Linked DNA regions of Tamandua tetradactyla. The protein of the gene in region 1 interacts with the protein of each later gene in a pairwise test. Links are inferred from orthologs where the notes say so. Each region holds a gene or a part of one and is shown in the gene's direction. Other genes may lie near its edges. The genes, in order: RIN1 and RRAS2.

Evidence for each region.
Region 2: the proteins of RIN1 (region 1) and RRAS2 interact in binary tests that used the Homo sapiens proteins (3 or more experiments, as listed by UniProt). The link is inferred for Tamandua tetradactyla from reciprocal best matches to the Homo sapiens genes RIN1 and RRAS2.

What each region holds. Positions count from the first base shown.
Region 1 is NC_135335.1:8,081,294-8,090,217, forward strand, and holds the start of RIN1 (ras and Rab interactor 1), read left to right. Parts: upstream 1-5,206; 5' UTR 5,207-5,462; coding exon 5,463-5,692; intron 5,693-5,855; coding exon 5,856-6,036; intron 6,037-6,155; coding exon 6,156-6,270; intron 6,271-6,358; coding exon 6,359-6,431; intron 6,432-6,578; coding exon 6,579-6,670; intron 6,671-6,811; coding exon 6,812-7,558; intron 7,559-7,858; coding exon 7,859-8,164; intron 8,165-8,455; coding exon 8,456-8,587; intron 8,588-8,741; coding exon 8,742-8,893; intron 8,894-8,924. Other genes in the region: BRMS1 (breast cancer metastasis-suppressor 1), read left to right, coding at 285-423, 506-596, 804-931, 1,048-1,127, 1,216-1,312, 1,889-1,981, 3,131-3,195, 3,637-3,676 and 1 more. UniProt on the Homo sapiens protein: Ras effector protein, which may serve as an inhibitory modulator of neuronal plasticity in aversive memory formation. Can affect Ras signaling at different levels. First, by competing with RAF1 protein for binding to activated Ras.
Region 2 is NC_135334.1:89,723,494-89,732,495, reverse strand, and holds the start of RRAS2 (ras-related protein R-Ras2), read left to right. Parts: upstream 1-4,796; 5' UTR 4,797-4,810; coding exon 4,811-4,918; intron 4,919-9,002. UniProt on the Homo sapiens protein: GTP-binding protein with GTPase activity, involved in the regulation of MAPK signaling pathway and thereby controlling multiple cellular processes. Regulates craniofacial development.

The sequences.
Region 1 (8,924 bases):
TGCAAATACCAATAAGGCTGCCCTGAGCACTGTCATGCCCTTGGCCTTTCCCATCTCACAGATCATTTCCTTGGATGGTATTCCCAGGATTGGGATCACCAACAATGCCCAAGGGCATAAGTGTATCCATGGCTTCCGGGCTTTTGGGACATAGGGCCAGGCGGTACCCTTCCTGCCTGCTGGGACTCCCTGGCTGTCCCTTCTGATTAAGTGTCAGGCCACTCTACCACTCCAAGCTGCGGGCAGTAGTAAGTGATGGCTCCGCTCCTTCCCCCAGAGTCCAGATGCCCGTCCAGCCTCCGAGCAAAGACACAGAGGAGATGGAAGCAGAGGGCGACTCGGCCGCCGAGATGAACGGGGAGGAGGAAGAGAGTGAGGAGGAAAGGAGCGGCAGCCAGACGGAGTCAGAGGAGGAGAGCTCCGGTGAGTCCCACTTTCCCCCACCACATGCGCACCCCTCCTTGCTGCTCTTCAGAGCCAACCCTGCCCAGCCTCTTGTCCTCAGAGATGGACGACGAGGACTGCGAACGCCGCCGGAGCGAGTGTGTGAACGAGATGCTAGACCTGGAGAAGCAGTTCTCAGAGCTAAAGGAGAAGTGAGTCCGGAAACACCTGGGGCTGGGTCTTGGGGGCCCCTGGGCTGAGGAGGCAGTGGGCCTGGTGCTGGGCAGGGTGTCCGGGGTCCAGAGTGCGTGAGCTCCTAACACCAGGCCCTCCGGGAGCGGGTGCTTGGCACGTGTTTGCCCAAGAGTGGTAGACAGATAGCTACATGGCTGCCTTTCTTTTTTCTTTTTACCTCCCAGGTTGTTCAGGGAACGACTGAGCCAGCTACGGTTGCGGCTGGAAGAAGTGGGGGCCGAGAGAGCCCCCGAGTACACAGAGCCTCTTGGGGGGCTGCAGCGGAGCCTCAAGATTCGCATTCAGGTGGCAGGTCCGTGGGCCATCCTGTGCCCCTCCTCCCTCCTCCCAGCTCTGTGCTCCCAGCCCTTCTCCTCGGGCACCCAGGGTCCTGATCAAGCAGGACCCCCTTTCTCCTTCCCTGTGCAGGGATCTATAAGGGCTTCTGTTTGGACGTGATCAGGAATAAGTATGAGTGTGAGCTGCAGGGAGCCAAACAGCACCTGGAGGTGAGGGCACTGGGTGCAGGGTGGTAGGTGAGGCCAGGGATTGCCCCCCACCCCCACCCCCCGACTGAGCTGCCCTTGCCTCTCCCAGAGTGAGAAGCTTCTGCTCTATGACACCCTTCAGGGGGAGCTGCAGGAGCGGATCCAGAGGCTGGAGGAGGACCGCCAGAGTCTGGACATCAGCTCCGGTGAGTGTCTCACCCAGCTCTGGACCTCAGCTTTCCTGACTGCTTGTGGGGATGAGGACAGAGCTGCTGCTTGGAGTCATAGTGAGGACTGACTGACTGAGACCTGGCATGCAGAGGGCTTGATTCTGTGCCTGCCACGCAGCAGGGCCCAGGAACAGGGTTCCTTTGCCCTCCTGCGCCCTGTTCTCCTGCAGGAACGAGGTGTTGGTTGGACATGCCCACATGTATGGTAACCACAGTTCCCCCACTTCCACATTCGCACTTCATGTCCATTGCTCTGCCAGTAGGCTTCTTGGGGGTGGGGGACTCCTGAGGAGGCAGGAATTGTCATTGCCCCACTGTCCACGGAGCAAGTGAAGAAACCAAAGCTCACGAAAGTGCAGTGACCTCTCCCAGGGCTGCACAGCTGTGCAGTTGGGGCCTGAACTCAGGCTTCCGACCCCAAGCCCAGGCTTCCACGCATGGCCCTGGGTGATGGTGGGTGGGGAAGGGAGGAGAGGCTGGGCTGGCTCTACAAGCGTGGGGACGGCCTGTGAGGGCCAACACCTGTGACTGATCCTGGGTCTGGGGGCTCAGAGTGGTGGGATGACAAGCTGCACGCCAGGGGCAGCTCAAGGACCTGGGACTCCCTGCCACCCAGCAAGAGGAAGAAGGCACCTCTCGTCTCTGGTATCCTTCCCCCAAGGTGGCCTGAGACTGGGTGGGGGATCAGTGTCAGCACCAGACCCCAGGGGTGGGGGGATGGAGGTGACACGAAGGGCAGGGTTGGACTAGAGACATTCGCGGTCGTTGGGTGTCATGTGACCATATCCCAGCAGATCCAGCTGTCAGAAATTTATTGTGGGGCCGTGGGTCTCTCCTAGGCTCTGTGGACCATAGATAGAAACATCAGTTTAATGACGCCCCATGACTTCTGGGTGAGGTTTGGCCTCTGGGCCCATCTGTGCTTTCCATGATTTCTCCCAAGCCACTCAGTTGCCCCAGAGCATGTTCCAGGCTCTCCCGCGTCTGTGCCTTTGCTTGTGCTCCACCCTCCGACTGTGCCTTCACAGCTGTCCCTACCTGTTCGGTGCTTATCTCAAGTGTCACCTCTTCCGTGAGCCAACTGGGCTGCCCACCTCCCACATGGGAGGAGTTGTCTCTGCCTTCCCTGCCTTGGGCCTGAGCCCCTCCAATCCAAGGCCTGCCCTGTCTCCACCCCCGGGACCCTCCTGGTATATCCCAGCAGAATTATGTTGAATTATCTTTGCCACCTCTGAGGGCATTTCTGAAGGAACTAGATTCTTGGGTCCTGGTCACTTTGGTGATGGAGAGCAGATGCAGGCAGCTGGGAGCACACTAAGGCATGAATGGACTGTGAGGGCATGGGGATGTCAAATGCAGAGCACAGGTGGTCACGGGGCGGGGGGTAAGGTGTGGGTAGTGGACAGTCCCCAGAGGGAAATGTGATGCCCAGGGTTGGGAGACCTCCACATCTGTTCTTGGTAGAGAAAGGGCCAGGAGAGGGAACAGTTTATGCCACAGGAAGGGAGGGAATAGAAGGAGCAAGGGGGGTGGGGTGCACCTTGGACTCAGGCCTTGAGACTGGATGAAGGTGAGGGTGAGCCGAGGGGAGGTAGGCAGTGAGGTCCTTGTGAGGGCCAGGGGTGGGGTCTCATGGTGGGAGGTGAGACCTGACCACAAACCCAGGTTCACAACTGTCCGGTCTCACGCTGCCCTCTCTCAAGCACTGGGTTGGTGCCCCAGTCCCCCCGCCCCACCCCCCCACCCATCCCCTGCAACCCCGCTCGGCTCCTGCTTCCTTGACTCCTGTCGCAGGCCCTTACATCGTGTATATGCTGCAGGAAATCGACATTCTAGAGGACTGGACTGCTATCAAAAAGGTAGGGGGTCCCTACTGTCCCCCACCCCAGCCCCATCACAGGGCAGTGTGAGACCTCTCTCAGATACCAAAGTTGGGCTTGTCTCTGTAGAGACAGGGTTCTCTGCCACCCAGGTTTCTTATCATCCTTGGCAGACAGACGTTCTCCCTTTGCCTGAGACGGTCTTTTTAGCCTGCCAGCCCCTTCTGGTTGCAGGGCAGGTTCCGATGGGGTGGGGGGACAGGGAGGGAAGGGTGGCAGGCTCCTGGAGGGCGTCTGGGCTGGCTGGGTATCTGAAAACAGACATCAGGGCTTTGCTTGGAAAGGGTCTTAAGCTCCCCACCCCTCTCAAAGCACAGCTGATCCAGCAGCCCCCCACTTCCATGGAGGTTGATATGGGGGGACGGTCCTTGCCAAGCTGGAGGCAGGCTCTCAGAGGGGCTTTTCTTCTTGCTCATCCAGGCTAGGGCAGCTGTGTCCCCTCAGAAGAGAAAATCGGATGGTAAGAACCATGGAGGCTACACTTCCTCCCGTCCCCCTTGTCCCCTTACTGTCACCTCTTCTAGCCCCACCTCCAGAAGGGAGTCCTGAGAGAAGCAGTGGACCTGTCAGAATCATCATGGCCCAAGACAGAAAGAATGATCTAGACCTGGGGGTGGAGTGAGCATTTGGGCTGCAGGAACCTGGGGTGGGAGCTTTGGGTTGCTGGGGCGGGGGAGGCTGACCAGCGAGGTTGGGTCAGTGTGGGCCTGAAGGCTGGGGGGAGTTCCTGGGCAGAGGGCTGAATCCAGAGCCCCGGTGCAGCTCAGGCTGGGGAGCAGCCCCAGAGCCAAAGCCATACCCCGAGCCCGCATGTGAGGTGGCCCTCCCTGGTGGCTCCCCACAGTGACTGTCCCCTTCCCATATGCCCCCAGGACCGTGACCCTCTGTTCACCACCACGGGGTCCCTCGGCGTGGCCAGCACCAAACCCAAGATTCCCCTGCGGAAGGGTGGGCTGACAAGCCCCTCTGGGTCCACCTGACAGCCCAGCTGGCCCCCCGTTGTGGCTGCTGGGGCCTCACCCCTGGCGGTCACTTGTCTGGACTCTTCCTCCGCCGCCTCCTCAGGGGTCTGCACGGCAGTAGACGTGGAGCTGACCTGGGCAGCCAAGATGTCTTCCCTGTTCCCGACCGGCCCACTGTCTCCCCCTCCCAAAGATCAGCCGTCTCCATGCCTCCCAGACAAAGAACCCTTGCCTCATTTTAAGCCAAAGCAACTTCCCCTTCCTGTGACCCTGGATTCCAGCTCTCCAGAACTGAGGGAAGGAGCTAGGCCCCACTGCATGGGAACTTTAAATCGTAACTTATGACTGGGGGGCCCATCTGCCCTGGCTGAGCTGGAGGTGGAAAGCCAGGCTTCCCAGCTTCTCTCAGGGCGTCTTTTCATGTCTGCCTCCTAGGTGGTAGGGACTGGAATTAAAACCTTTCCTGGGACTCTGGCATGGCCTGTGTGTATGTCTGATTCACCTGGCAAGGGAATCAGGGCTCCCGTGGGGAGCCACCTGGGACAGGCAGACCCTCCTCGGGTCCCTGGGATGTGGCACCTCTCCCCACTACCCAGCAGGAGCCTGTACCTCTGAGCTGGGTGGGGGGCCGGTACTTCTTAGCACAGTCTGAAGCAACATGTGGCCCAGGTAGAGCACGTGGCGAGCATACGGGTGCTCAGGGCTTGGGGGCTGGGTCATGTCTGCACCTGCCCGGGTTGCTTGGCAGATTGGCAAGGCAGGCTGGCAGGGCCTGTGCGTGGGAGGCAGCCGGCAGCAGCGCCGTGTGCTGACGACCTCACAGCCAGACTCCCCCCGGTTTAGCGCTGAGTGTTAGAACCACCCCCAGCACCTCAGTTAAGCAAAGGGGTTCGTTTCCATGGCGACATGGCATCTTTTCTCCATGGCAACCTGAAATCCCAAAGTCCAGGTTAGGCTCAGGGATGAGTCATCCGTAACCAATAGGGGGCGCTCGCCCACAAGGCTGACCCTAAGGCCTCGGAGGAAAAAAAAAGGATCAGTTGACCACAGACTTAAAGGTGTTCCCAGGGCGAGGCTTGGGCCCCCAGGGCCTGAGGCAAGCCCTGCTTAACCCTTTCCCCGCAAGCCGTGATGAACTCCTTCCCGCCCAGGGGTGTGGCTTGAGGCCAGGGAGGCAGTGGGAAGCACTGGCGGCAGCAACCCCAAAACTGGTATCCGCAGTGAGGTGCAGGCAGGAAGGGGATCCCAGGCCCCTGAGGCTGTGCCCAGAGCAGAAGCAGCAGAATGGACACACAAGAGTTAACTGGCGGGTGTGACCGGGCGCCCCGCCCTCAGGAAGTGTTACTCACCGCCGGGAATGTGAGTGTCCTCGCCTGGGGGGCTGGATTCGCTTCCCGAGTCCCAGGAGAAGCTAAGGCGCTCCCAGCCATGGACAGCCCCGGAGAGCCGGGCGCAGGCCCTGGCAGAGACCCCAGCCCGTCCAGCTCTGCTCCCAGGCACCTGGAGATAGAAAAGTTAGTGAAGTTGGAGGGGTAGCCAGGTGGGACGGGGAGGGAGGGCAGGAAAGGGTCCGTCCGGGGGCTGGAGAAGGGCTGAGCCTGGTCTTTGGGGCTAGGGAGGGTTGGACAAGGGTCCCAGCCCCCGGCACCCTGCCCAGGTCCGGCTGCCCGCCCGCAGGCCAGCCCGCGACCTGCTGTATGATGTACCCGGCGCCGGCGGAAGGCAGGTGGGTGAGCCCCAGCGGCCGGGCCGCGCCGTGAGCCTGCGGGAGCGCCTGCTGCTCACCCGGCCCGTGTGGCTGCAGCTGCGGGCCAACGCAGCGGCCGCTCTGCACGTGCTGAGGACCCAGCCCCCCGGGGTGAGTCTTGCCCGCGGCCTGCGGGGCCTGGCCAGTGGGAGGGCAGGGTGGGGGTGGGAGAGGCCAGACACCGTGGTCCGGAGCTGCACCCCCCACCCCCAACTCCCGTCCACCCGCAGACGTTCCTGGTGCGGAAATCCAACACCCGCCAGTGCCAGACCCTGTGTGTGCGGCTGCCGGAGGCCGGCGGGCCCTCCTTCGTCTCTAGCCACTACATCCAGGAGAGCCCCCGGGGTGAGAGGGGCTGGCTTGGAGGGAAGGGGGCTGGGGCGGGCCAGCTGGGGGACACCCAGAGAACGCCCCAACTTCCGGTGACTCCCAGGCGTCTCCTTGGAGGGCTCGGAGCTCGTGTTCCCGGACCTGGTCCAGCTCATCTGCGGCTACTGCCACACCCGGTGAGTGTCCACAGGGCACCTGCCAATCTAGGGTCCCTGGGGTCCCTGCTTCTTCCATCTTCCCCCACCCCGCTGGCCCCTCCCAGGACCCCCGTGGCCCCAGGGATCCCCTCACTCTGGACTTTCTGCTCCCTCTTTCGGTCCCAGAGATGTCCTCCTCCTCCCGCTCCAGCTCCCCAGAGCCATCCGCCAGGCAGCCACCCACAAGGAGCTGGAGGCCATCTCCCATCTGGGCGTCGGTAAGGGCCCCCTGCCAGCCCTGCCGAGAGGGGAAGGGAGAGCCATGCGGCCACCCACCCGGAAGTCATGCCTCCCCCTGGGTCGGGCGCCCTCCCCTCCCCGGTTCCTGAGGCCCCCCCCACTTGGTTTCTCCCCCCTAGAGTTCTGGAGCTCCCCCCTCAATGTCAGGGCCCCACAGGATCCCCCTGAAGGCCCGCTGCTGCCCCTGCTGAAGCCCCGGTCCCCTCAAGAGCTGGACCAGGGCACTGGAGCTGCCCTGTGCTTCTTCAACCCCCTGTTCCCAGGGGACCTGGGCCCCACGAAGCGTGAGAAATTCAAGAGGAGCTTCAAAGTACGCGTGTCCACGGAGACCTCCAGCCCCCTGTCTCCCCCAGCTGGGCCGCCGCCCCCGGTCCCCGTGCTGCCCAAGGCAGCCCCGGACCAGACCGAGAGGCTGCCCCCTCACGGGCTGCTGCGCCGGGAGAGCTCCGTGGGGTACCGCGTGCCGTGGAGTGCTGGCCCCAGCCTCCCGCCCCTGCCCTCCCTCCAGGAGGTGGACTGCTGCTCCCCTAGCAGCTCGGAGGAGGAGGAGGGGGCGGCGCCAGCATCCCGGCGCAGCTCAGGGTCCTCGCCCTGCTTGGGCCGCCGCCGCCGGCCCCTGTTGCGGTCCATGAGCGCCGCCTTCTGCTCGCTGCTGGCACCCGAGCGGCAGGTGGGCCGGGCGGCCGGGTCGCTGGTGCAAGACAGACACACGGCCGTGGGCCAGCTGGTGCAGGACCTGCTGACTCAGGTGCGGGCCAGGCCCGAGCCCCAGGAGCTGCAGGCCGTCCGCGAGGCGCTGAGCCAGGCGCGGGCCATGCTGAGCGCCGAGCTGGGCCCCGAGAAGCTGCTGCCTCCGGAGAGGCTGGGTAAGACCCCAGCTCCCCGACCCTGCCTTCCCTCACCACAATTCCAGCCAGTCCCCACTCGATGCTCTCATCTTCCCGCAGTTCCAGCCTAACTCCTTGCGCCTGTTGCTTTACAAACCCACCTCGTCTCAGCATCACTCGAGTGACTCGGTCCGTCCCTTCTCCCTCCTCTCTCCCATCCCACCCCGATTCCTCCACCTTCCATCCCCTCTTCCCGCCCAGTCCTGGCCCTTCTCCCCAGGACTCTGCCCCCAGCCGCAGGGCCTGAGGCCTGAGCCCTGACTGGCTCTCCATCCTCAGAGCACATTCTGGAGAAGTCCCTGCACCGCTCCGTGCTCAAGCCCCTCCGGCCCCTCCTGGCAGCCCGCCTGCGGAGCCGGTTCTCCGCCAACGGCTCCCTGGGCTGCCTCGCCGAGGGCCTGCGCCTGGCCCGGGCCCAGGGCCCCGGAGCCTTCGGGTCCCACCTGTGCCTTCCCTCCCCGGTGGAGACGGAGCAGGTGCGCCAGAAGCTGCTGCAGCTGCTTCGCGCCTACTCGCCCAGCGCCAAGGTCAAGCGGCTCCTGCAGGCCTGCAAGCTGCTCTACACGGCGCTGCAGGCCCAGGCGGGTACGTCCACACCCCTGCCCCCCACACCCCTGCCCCCCGCGGGCCCCCTGCACAGTCAGACGCAGGCATCTCAAAGAGAGGCACCAGGACCCAGGAATGGCGCAGTAGGGGAGAATCAGTCCGATCCTCCATCTTACACATGGAGAAACTGAGGCCCAGATGACAGAGCAGCCTCTCCACATAGTTGTGGGCTGGCAGGCAGAGGGGAGGGGTCGCTGGCCAAGACACGCTGTGGGCCCTGACCCTAGGCCTGGGGGACCCTGAAACCGCCTCTGCCACACGTCCCCGCAGGGGAAGGCGCTGGTGCCGACGAGTTCCTGCCACTACTGAGCCTGGTCCTGGCCCAGTGTGACCTCCCAGAGCTGCTCCTGGAGGCCGAGTACATGTCAGAGCTGCTGGAGCCCACCCTGCTCACCGGAGAGGGTGAGGGGGCCTGACCTTCCTATCTGGGTGGGACGAGGGTGTCTTCGCTGCTCTCTGGGCCTGGGTGAGCAGGGAACGGGGAGAGGGAGGCAGTCGTTTCCCCCCCCCCCCCCCATGCCCAGCCTGACCCACACTCTTCCCCGTGGCGTCCCAGGCGGCTACTACCTGACCAGCCTCTCGGCCAGCCTGACCCTGCTGAGCAGCCTGCACCAGGCCAAGGCCGTGCGCCTCAGCCCCTCCCAGGAGCTGCAGCGCTCCCTCAGCCTCTGGGAGCAGCGCCGCCTGCCGGCCACCCACAGCCTCCAGGTAACAGGGCCACCCCCACCCCTGTCTGCCC
Region 2 (9,002 bases), on another chromosome or scaffold:
ATTATACTGTACACCCTGTTTTGTATCCTTCTCTTCTAACTTGATATATTATTAACATTTTCTTATATAGACAAAAATTTTTTTTCCTTATATAAATAAAAATTACTGTTAATGGCCACATAGTATTTCCTGGTATGGCCATATCATCATTTATTTAATGAAGCCTCTGTTGTGGCGATTTAATTAGTTTCCAGTTTTTCATTATTTTAAAAAATACTGTGGTGGACACCCTTGCCTTAGTCTTCCTGGAAGCTGTGCCCCGAGGAGAGTGGGGCTTTTCCCACTGCCCAGCCTGCTGGACTAAAGCAGGGTGCTACACTTGGATGGGCCCCGGGCTGGGAAACTGGATTTGTGTTCAAGTGGTGCTTTTGCTCTACCTCTAGGCGACACTGGGAATCACCCTTCTCTTCTCTGGGCCTTTGCTATCCCATCTGTAAAACGAGAGCTTTAGAGGGGATGATTGAGGGGTGGTTTTCCTGCTCTAAGGTTCTGTGATTCTCAGCTGATCCTCCACTAAGCTCTGGATTCTGCCAGCTCTGTCGTGGCCTTCCTCGGGGCTGTGTGTGTGTGTGCACACGCCTGAGTGTGTGTTTCAGTTTCTATTTTTAGCAGCATGATCTTTAAACAAGGAATAGATTTGTGCGGCTGTCTCATCTCACATGCCTGCAGCTCCTGCTGGGCTGTTTCGTTCTGCACCAGCCATTCATTCACATTAGAAGCTGTGGCCCATTAAGGAAATAAGTGGATGATGCTCTTCCATTAGCCAGGATAAGGATTGCATCCTCTTTTCTCCGGGGGCTTGGCCTTCTTTGGTCACCAAGTGTGGGCTCTGTCTGACTCAGCTATAGATGAGGTCGGGGGAATATTGGGTTTAGGGCCCCCCTCCTCACTCCATCTCCAAATCCTTCCTTTGGGATGGGCCAGGGATACCATTTGGGCCAGTGGTTTTTAGAGATGATGAGTAACCAACACTCCAGATGAGAAAATGACTGTTTGTCCTGAAATAAAGAGTGAACATGAGTCCATTCTCCTCCAGTAGTTCTTAATCTTGGTAGCATCTCAGGGCCACTTTGGATATTTTTTAAAAGTACATTTTCTGAGTCTGCAACCTTAGAGAGTCTCATGGAGCAGGTCTGGGGTGGAGCCCAGGCTCTTCATTTTAAAAGTCTCAACAGGTGATTCAATATGCATCCTAGGTAGAAAACACTGGTATATAGTAGTAGGATTTGCAAACTCCTCATGCCCACAAAGGTCTGGCAGGTAACATTAAAATGAAATAGGTGGGCCGTGTTACAAAAAGCTGGCTGGGGTCTCTGATGAATAGGAGCATTGATACCTCTTCTAAAGGACAGTCAGTCCTTACTTTTAGCCAGTTATTGCCATATGACAGTGCCAGCCCAGTGTGGTTATATATTCCAATTGGATTTTTCAAGAAGAGTTAGAAATCCAGATTTTTATGTGAAGTATCTATTTTTTAATGTTGGCAATCAATTCAATTTTTAAAAAATTTAGTTATGTGCCCAAACAATTCTGTGGGACAAATGTGGCTCTGAATCTGCCTGTCAAAATCTCTTGACAATACGTTAGCCAGACAGTTATTCAATTTCAGTCAAAATGATGGAATCAGCAGCCCTGGTCTTGACTGGCAGCTTCAGCACTGTCTCTGCTCTGTGTTCTGAGGCTCTGTTGGAATCTGGATAACATCCAGCTTTAGCCCTGAGCAGAGGAGTCAGGAGACCTGTGTCCTAATTCCTGCAAACAACTTGTTGAGTGATGTTGGGAAATTCCTTCCCGAGTCACACGATTTCTTTCTGTCAGGTAAGTGGGGTTATCTCTATCATTCTTTCCAAGGGTCTGGGTCATTCTTCTCTAGAAGAGATTTATATATTTCCCTATTGTCTCCCAGATACTCGAGAAGGAATCTTTTCAGGTTAAAATGAAAAAAAGCACTTTAATAATTAAGCTTGAAAGACACAACTAGCTCTTTCTCTCCCATCTTCTATTTCTGTAGTGATTTAGTTTACAGGGCAGTTTCTTTCTTGCTAAGGGTTTTTGGAGTGTTTTCTAAGGACAAGAAAGTGCTTTGGAATATGCTGTTTGGGTGGGGTTGAGCACATGGGCTTCGTACTTGCTGAACACTCAGCTTTGAGTCCAGTCAATAAAGAAAGGGATAGAGTAGATGAAGATGTGGTCCTGAGGAATTATGGTTCATTGCAGGGGTAGGCAGACACTGAGAGGTATCTGCAGGGAGTATAGTTGGCCCTTTCTTGGGCATTTCTCAGTCTTCTCTTGTCATGGGCTCCTCTTTTCTTTCTCTCTTCATTTTCTACTTTCTCTTTCCACATTGATAATAATATATGTCATATATTCTGGTTATTACTGTTGCATAACAAATATCCCTAAACCCCAACCTACTTAAAGCCACCATTTTATAAGATATTAAAAGAAGCAAAGGAGACTTGGCAAGTAATTCAACACCTGACCCTAGATTTGGTCCTTTACTGAAGGGGAAAAATGCCCTAAAGGTCATCATTGAGTCAACTGACAAAATTGGAGTGTGCATTCTAAATTAGATTAAAGTATCCATATCAATGTTAAATTTACTGAGTTGATAACTGTGTTATTGCTCTGTGAAAATCACTATTCTTAAGAAATACACACTGAAGTATTTAGGGGTAAAGAGTCAGGATGTAGGATACTTATCCTTAAATGGTTCAGGAAAAAACATATATCTCTATCATCTACCTGTCTAGAGGAGAATGACAACGCTAGTGGGGTAAAACGTTCATAACAGGTGAATTTGGGTAAAAGCTGTTTGGGTGCTCTTCATACTTACACACTGAAGGACAGTTATTGACTGGGTCTTTCATGCAGTTGCAGTCAGGTGCCGACTGGGTTTGTGGTTGTCTAAAGATTGACCAGGCTGGGTGTCCAAGATGGCTCACTCAGATGGCTGGTACTTGATGTCAGGACCAGCTAATGGTCTGCTGGGAGCTCAGCTAGACTTTGAACTGTCATGTCTGTATCTGGCCTCTTCAGCATGGCAGTCTCAGGGTAATTCAAACTTCTTACTTTGTTTCCCCCATGGTCAGCATCCAAGAGAACAAGGGGAAGCTGCATGAGCTCTCTGGAGCTGCCTCTAAAGTTATGCAGCATCTCTTTCACTGCATTCTACTGATCCCAAGCAAGTCACCAAGGTCACTAAGTAGTGTCCAGGAACTTGGAGTCATGTTCCAAAACTTTCAGAGAGGCTTACCACATGCCAGACACTGTTTTATGTGCTTTACATGTATTGATTCATTCGATGCTTAGTAAAATTCTTATTACCTACCCATGAGGTAAGTAGTCTTATTATCCTTATTTTAGAGAGGAGGAAACCAAAGCACAGAGGTTAAGTTCCTAACGTCACACCATCAGTGGCAGAGGTGAGATTTGAATCCAGATTTGGCTCCAGATCTTCTACATAGAGCTGTGATTACTGTTACATTTGGTTAAACTGATATACAGAAATAATCACTTTTCATTCATTATCACCATCATGCAATCTCCTGCAACATTCAAAATCATATGACAATCCTTCCTTCTCTCCTCTGGCTTTTGCATATGTGATTTCCTCTCCCTGTGATTCTTTTCTTCCAATTAATTATTCATCGATCTTATTTATCCTTAAGTTCTCTGACCAGCCAACTCTGGATTGAATGAGTGCCTCTCCTATGGGCACATGTGCAACCGAGTGCTTATGCAGTTATAGCCTTTATCATTGTGTCTGATGATTTGCTCCTTACCCAGGCTGTCTCCCCCATTTCGGAGGGCAGGGACACTCTTTTTAGTGTGTTCAATAGGTAAAAATCAATTTCTCACATTCATACTCCCCAAATACAATGACCACATATTTTTTACACATAAACGCAGCCTCTTAGATACTCTCCAGACACATACAAAATCTCTCACTTTCACTCTTGTCTGCACAAGCTCAGTCACTGTGACTTATTCCTCACACTCAGTCACTGTCACATTCCTCACACACGGTGACCTCTGCAAGCGCATCACACACACAATGTCTGTGACAGCTCTAATCCTCAATCACTGTCACATACTGGATTTTTCATGCAACCACAGTCACTGTCTGTACTCTTCAAACACGATATTTGCTCTCTACAAATTAAACTAAGATGACAACAGCTCCATTTTTCACACACATGCTGTCACATAATGTATTTTTCATCCACATAATCCCTGACATATACAATTATGGTCACACCCAGTCACTGACACCCTCTTCCACACTCCTACACGCACGCACACGCACACACACACACACATACACACACACGTTCTCTCTCTCAGCCAAACACACACAGAGTCAAGGGATTGGAGGGGCACCTCGGTAGGGGTATGAAGTCTCAGCCAACTCCCGAATCTCAGCGCCAGGCCATTGCGGCCCCGCCCCGCTCCCTCCCCCGCCCCCTCATACATATGCAGAACCTCAGCCCGGCAGCCCGGCCCCCAGACGGCCATTTGTAGCGGCGCTGGAGGCTGCGTTCGGCTGGAGCTGCGGAGACGGGTAGAGGAGCGCGCCCCCCGGCTGCTGCCGCCCCTGGCTCCGGCGGACACCCCGCTTCTCCGCGCCTTGGGCGGGACCGGCCAGCCCCGGGCGCCGCGCTTCCGCGTGGACCGGCCCTCCTCGCAGCTCCCGGCGCCCAGGACCCCCGCCCGGCTACTCGTCCGCAGCCCGCACACGTCCCCGGAGCCGGGCCTAGGGCGGGTGGCGACGGCTCGGCGCGGCCGGGCTGGGCTCGGCGGTGTCCCCATGGCCGCGACCGGCTGGCGGGACGGCTCCGGCCAGGAGAAGTACCGGCTCGTGGTGGTCGGCGGGGGCGGCGTGGGCAAATCGGCGCTCACGATCCAGTTCATCCAGGTGCCTGGAAGCGGGCCTGCCGGGGCGCCGGGGCGGCGGCGGGCGGGGGCTCGCTACCTGTGGCGGGGCGGGCGCCGCAACCCCGCCCCGGAGGCGCCGCGCGGGCCCGGGGCGGAGGGCGGGTGGGCGCGGGGCCGGCTCTGTTCTCCTGCCCGGCGGCTGCGGCGCGGCGCTCCTGCCTGCCCGGCGCCCGGGTCGGCGTCCCGGGAGCCCGTCTTCTCAGGAATGTGGCGGGAGGGCGGAGCTGGTAGGGTGGGAAGCGCCGATCTACCTTATCGCTCTGACCGGGGCCGGAGCCCTCCGGAGAGGCAGCGCCGTCGAGCCGGGCTTCCTGCCCCGTGGGCCCCGGCGTCCGACGTGTGGCTGGAGCCCCGCAGTGCCGGTGGCCTTGCCGCCTCCCGGCTGCCTCCTGCTCCGGCGGTGCGATCGCGGTGGCAACTTGGCCGCGGCTCCGCGTGGTCTCCGGGCTTCGCGCAGTCTGAGCCGGAGCTGCCCGCGTCTAGCAGTGTGTTTTTTCTTTGTGTGTGTTTGTGCTTTTCTTTTAAGTCATCTCTTAGGTAATATGTTTGGGTAGGGGTGTGTGATAATCCCGAGGGACATGAGTGGCTTCTAGGAAGTTAAAAATGTTCTCCGATAAGGGTGAGACCATTTCCTAGGAATTTCTGGTGTCTTCAGGCTTTTCGCTGTGCCAAGGTGAAGTTTGGGATGGGCCAGGCTAAGAGATGATTGAGGCGTGTGTTCTGTGTTACAACCACCCTCACCCCTCCCCTCCCCACCCCTTTCTTGTTGCTAGAGGCCGAAAGTCAGGGGTTGTGGTAAAGAAAAAGGAGGTGGAATTCTTCATGCTTTGACTTTGCTTTTGGTGCGAGGCTTGAGTGATCTTTTTTTTTTTTTTAAGAGAAACCCGAATATCTTTATGCTTTTGTCAATATAGAAGGTGTGGCATTTACTGGGAAAGAACCAAGGTAGAACGTTTTATGGGGTAACAAAGGCATTCTTATTCATAGCAAGAGTATTGTTAAGAAGCTTTGGTGCAATATTTATTTTATTTCTGGTTTCCGTTTCACCCATTTGTCATCAATTGGAATACTTGAATAGCTTATTTTATTTCACCTAATGTTTATAGTGACATTAAAATACAGAGAACTGTAACAGAAATGTGATCATCACCTTTCACATTGGCTAAGGAGCAATACTTGCTGCTGTAACATGCCAAGAGATTAAAACTATTTTAGCACTTTGGGTGAAATTTAGAGGGTTACTGCAGAAAACCTATGTATCCAGGAAGAGAGGATGTTTATGTAGTGAGCATTTACAACATGGTCTTTAGTGGGTTTTAAAAAAATCACACTAAGAGGCGAGATTGGTTTTAGTGTTAACAGGCTGCAGAATCAGGGATGCTGTTATGTTGCCATTTCTCTAGGGCCAAGAAAGACCAACTGATAGCAAAGCAAAACAATTTATACTTTTCTCTGGGGATTGTAGTTTTATGGTTAGTGCGGAGGAGAATAATCCTGATTTCCAGTATTGATAAAAAATGTTACCTAAAATATGTAAGCTACAAATGTTTCTTAACTTTTTGGACGGAGCCAGGGAAAGCACTGAGTCTGTAAACTAGTTATTAAGGTATTGGAATTTTTTGTTTTGGGGGAAATAGCATTAGAGACCATTAAAATACAGCGATTGCTGCCTTCCTTATGATTTTCTGAAATTCGTTAGCTGACGAAATGCTTTCTTTATGAATAGTACTGTATCTAGATGCTCTAGAAAGAAGTGCATGAGAAAGACATGTGTATGTACATAGAGAAAGAGTATGAACCTTGAGTCACACAGAATTGAGCACGTCTTTTGCGCTGGCATTTACTGTCTCTGAGAACATTTCTAAGATATTTAGCCTCTCTGAGCTTCAATTTTCTCATCAGTAAAATGGGTCCAATTGCACATTTATTATAACTCTTTAAATTATGGGAAAGTTTCTAGCATTGTGTCTAGGACTTAGTATGTGCTCAGTTAAAGGTACCTATTATTGTAAGTGTGAATGTGTACAAGTTTCGTAACACACAGTAAGTACAAAGGGAGTTCAGTATCACAGGAAGGTCAGTTTGGGAAGAGTTGATAGAAATACTGCGTAGGCTTAGTGGTGAGGAGAAAGAGTGAGTATATGTCATATGTAAGTAAGGAGCTCCGAGAGAGGAGGCAGGCGAGGGAGGCAGTGGAAAAGCACATGACTTGGGGCCAGTAAAGGGGAGAGGAATTTGGACTCTCAAGTTCAGACTTTCTGGGGAGACAGGAGTCAGGCAGAGGTAGGACTGAACTGCATAGAATCAGTCCCACCTCTGCCACTTGCACAATATGTAAGTTAAGGCATATTACTTAACCTTTCTGTAACTCAGTTTTCCTTATCTGTAAACCGGGGAAATAATTTTAAAAAGTATCTCATACAGTGGACATGAGAGTTAAACAAGGTGACTTGTCAGGGGCAGAGAACAATGTCTAGAACATATTAAGGCTTACCTATGTTATTATGGCTGTTATTATATCAGTCTTAGATGATGAAAATAATGGCGCTTATTACCTACACTTGTCAGGACAACAGTTTATATGTCTGAGCCTTGGGAAGTTAAAATCCATCCTGCTGTGTTTGTCCAGTAGTTGGAGGGAGAGGAGAGAGCAGAAGAATAATCACCTTGCCAAGGGAAAGTCAGTTCTCTTTGTAGGAAATTAGGAGGCACAGTTGTTTTTTATTTATTTATTTTATAGGATACCTAAAATAACAATCTGTTTTTACAGTTTTCAGAAAATACTTTTTCTCTTAAATTGTCTTGAACAGAAAAATATGATTAACAAATTTGGGCGTGGAGAACTTAAAACCCCCTTGCTTCTAGCCTTGACTTTCTTAGTTCTCAGTTTTAGTTCATTCTGTGCAATGAACAGCTGGAAAATTAGGAAATTAAAGTCATCTTTATTTAATTGCGGTGCCTTTACCTCTTTAACAATGAATATAGAGGTTCACACTATACCCATGGGTGATAAAAGAATGCAAGGTATTATGTTGTTAAAAGTGTATATGTAAAAAAAATAGAAAAAAAAATCCCCCAAATAAACAAAAAAGTGTGTGTTAACGTACTCCTTGTTTTTTGTTGTTCATTACTTTTGAAAACAGTCCTTTTAAGTTCTGTTGGTAAATGGAATACCTAAATGATGAGTAAACTCTAGGTAGGAAATGATCTTAACATTGTGCAAAATGGAATGTTGTAGATCACTTTCTCCAGGTGACTGGGAGAATTGCTTAATCTCTTCAAGGCTTCATTTTCTTCTCTGCTAAATGTTGGGCTTGGGTGAACAAATCTGCATCTTTGAAATTCAGAGTCTTTCTTACTTACCTAGCTGTGGTCAATTTTCTTAGGTTCTCAGTTTCAATTTTCTTAGGTTCTCAGTTTCCCCATATTAAAAGGGAGAATAATACAGTATCCTGCGGTTTGGGGAGTAAATAAAATAATGCATGTAAGTCATTCAGCACAGTGCCACCTACAGAGTAAGTAAGTAATAATTGTTACCTAGTTTTGTGTGCTCCTGTTATTTCCTTATTTTGGTGTCAAAACTTGTGATTTATTCATTTTTCCTTGTCATAATCTGATGTGCTATTTTAAATCTTCACTCCACCCTCCAATCCTGCACTCCACTCCTTAGTTTTGTTTGATATTTAAGTGATAAATGCTGATTTTGTTTTGAGTTGGGGAAACTTTTTTTTAAATCAACTTGGAATTGGTTTTAGGAAATAATGGAATAATCATTGGGGTTTTATTTTTTGCCATTCTAACCATTTTTACGGTTGTTTTTCAGTGGCATTAATAGCATTCACAATCTGGTGTTACTATTACCTCCATCCATTACCAAAACTTTTTTTTTTTTATCATTCCAAATAGAAACTCTGTGCCCATTGAGCAACTCACCCTCACCCTCTGTCACTCCCATCTCTGGTAAACTCTAATCTACTTTCTTCCCTGGATTTGCTTATTCTAGATATTTCATAGAAGTGGAATCATACAGTATTTGCCCTTTTGTGTCTGGCTTATTTCATTTA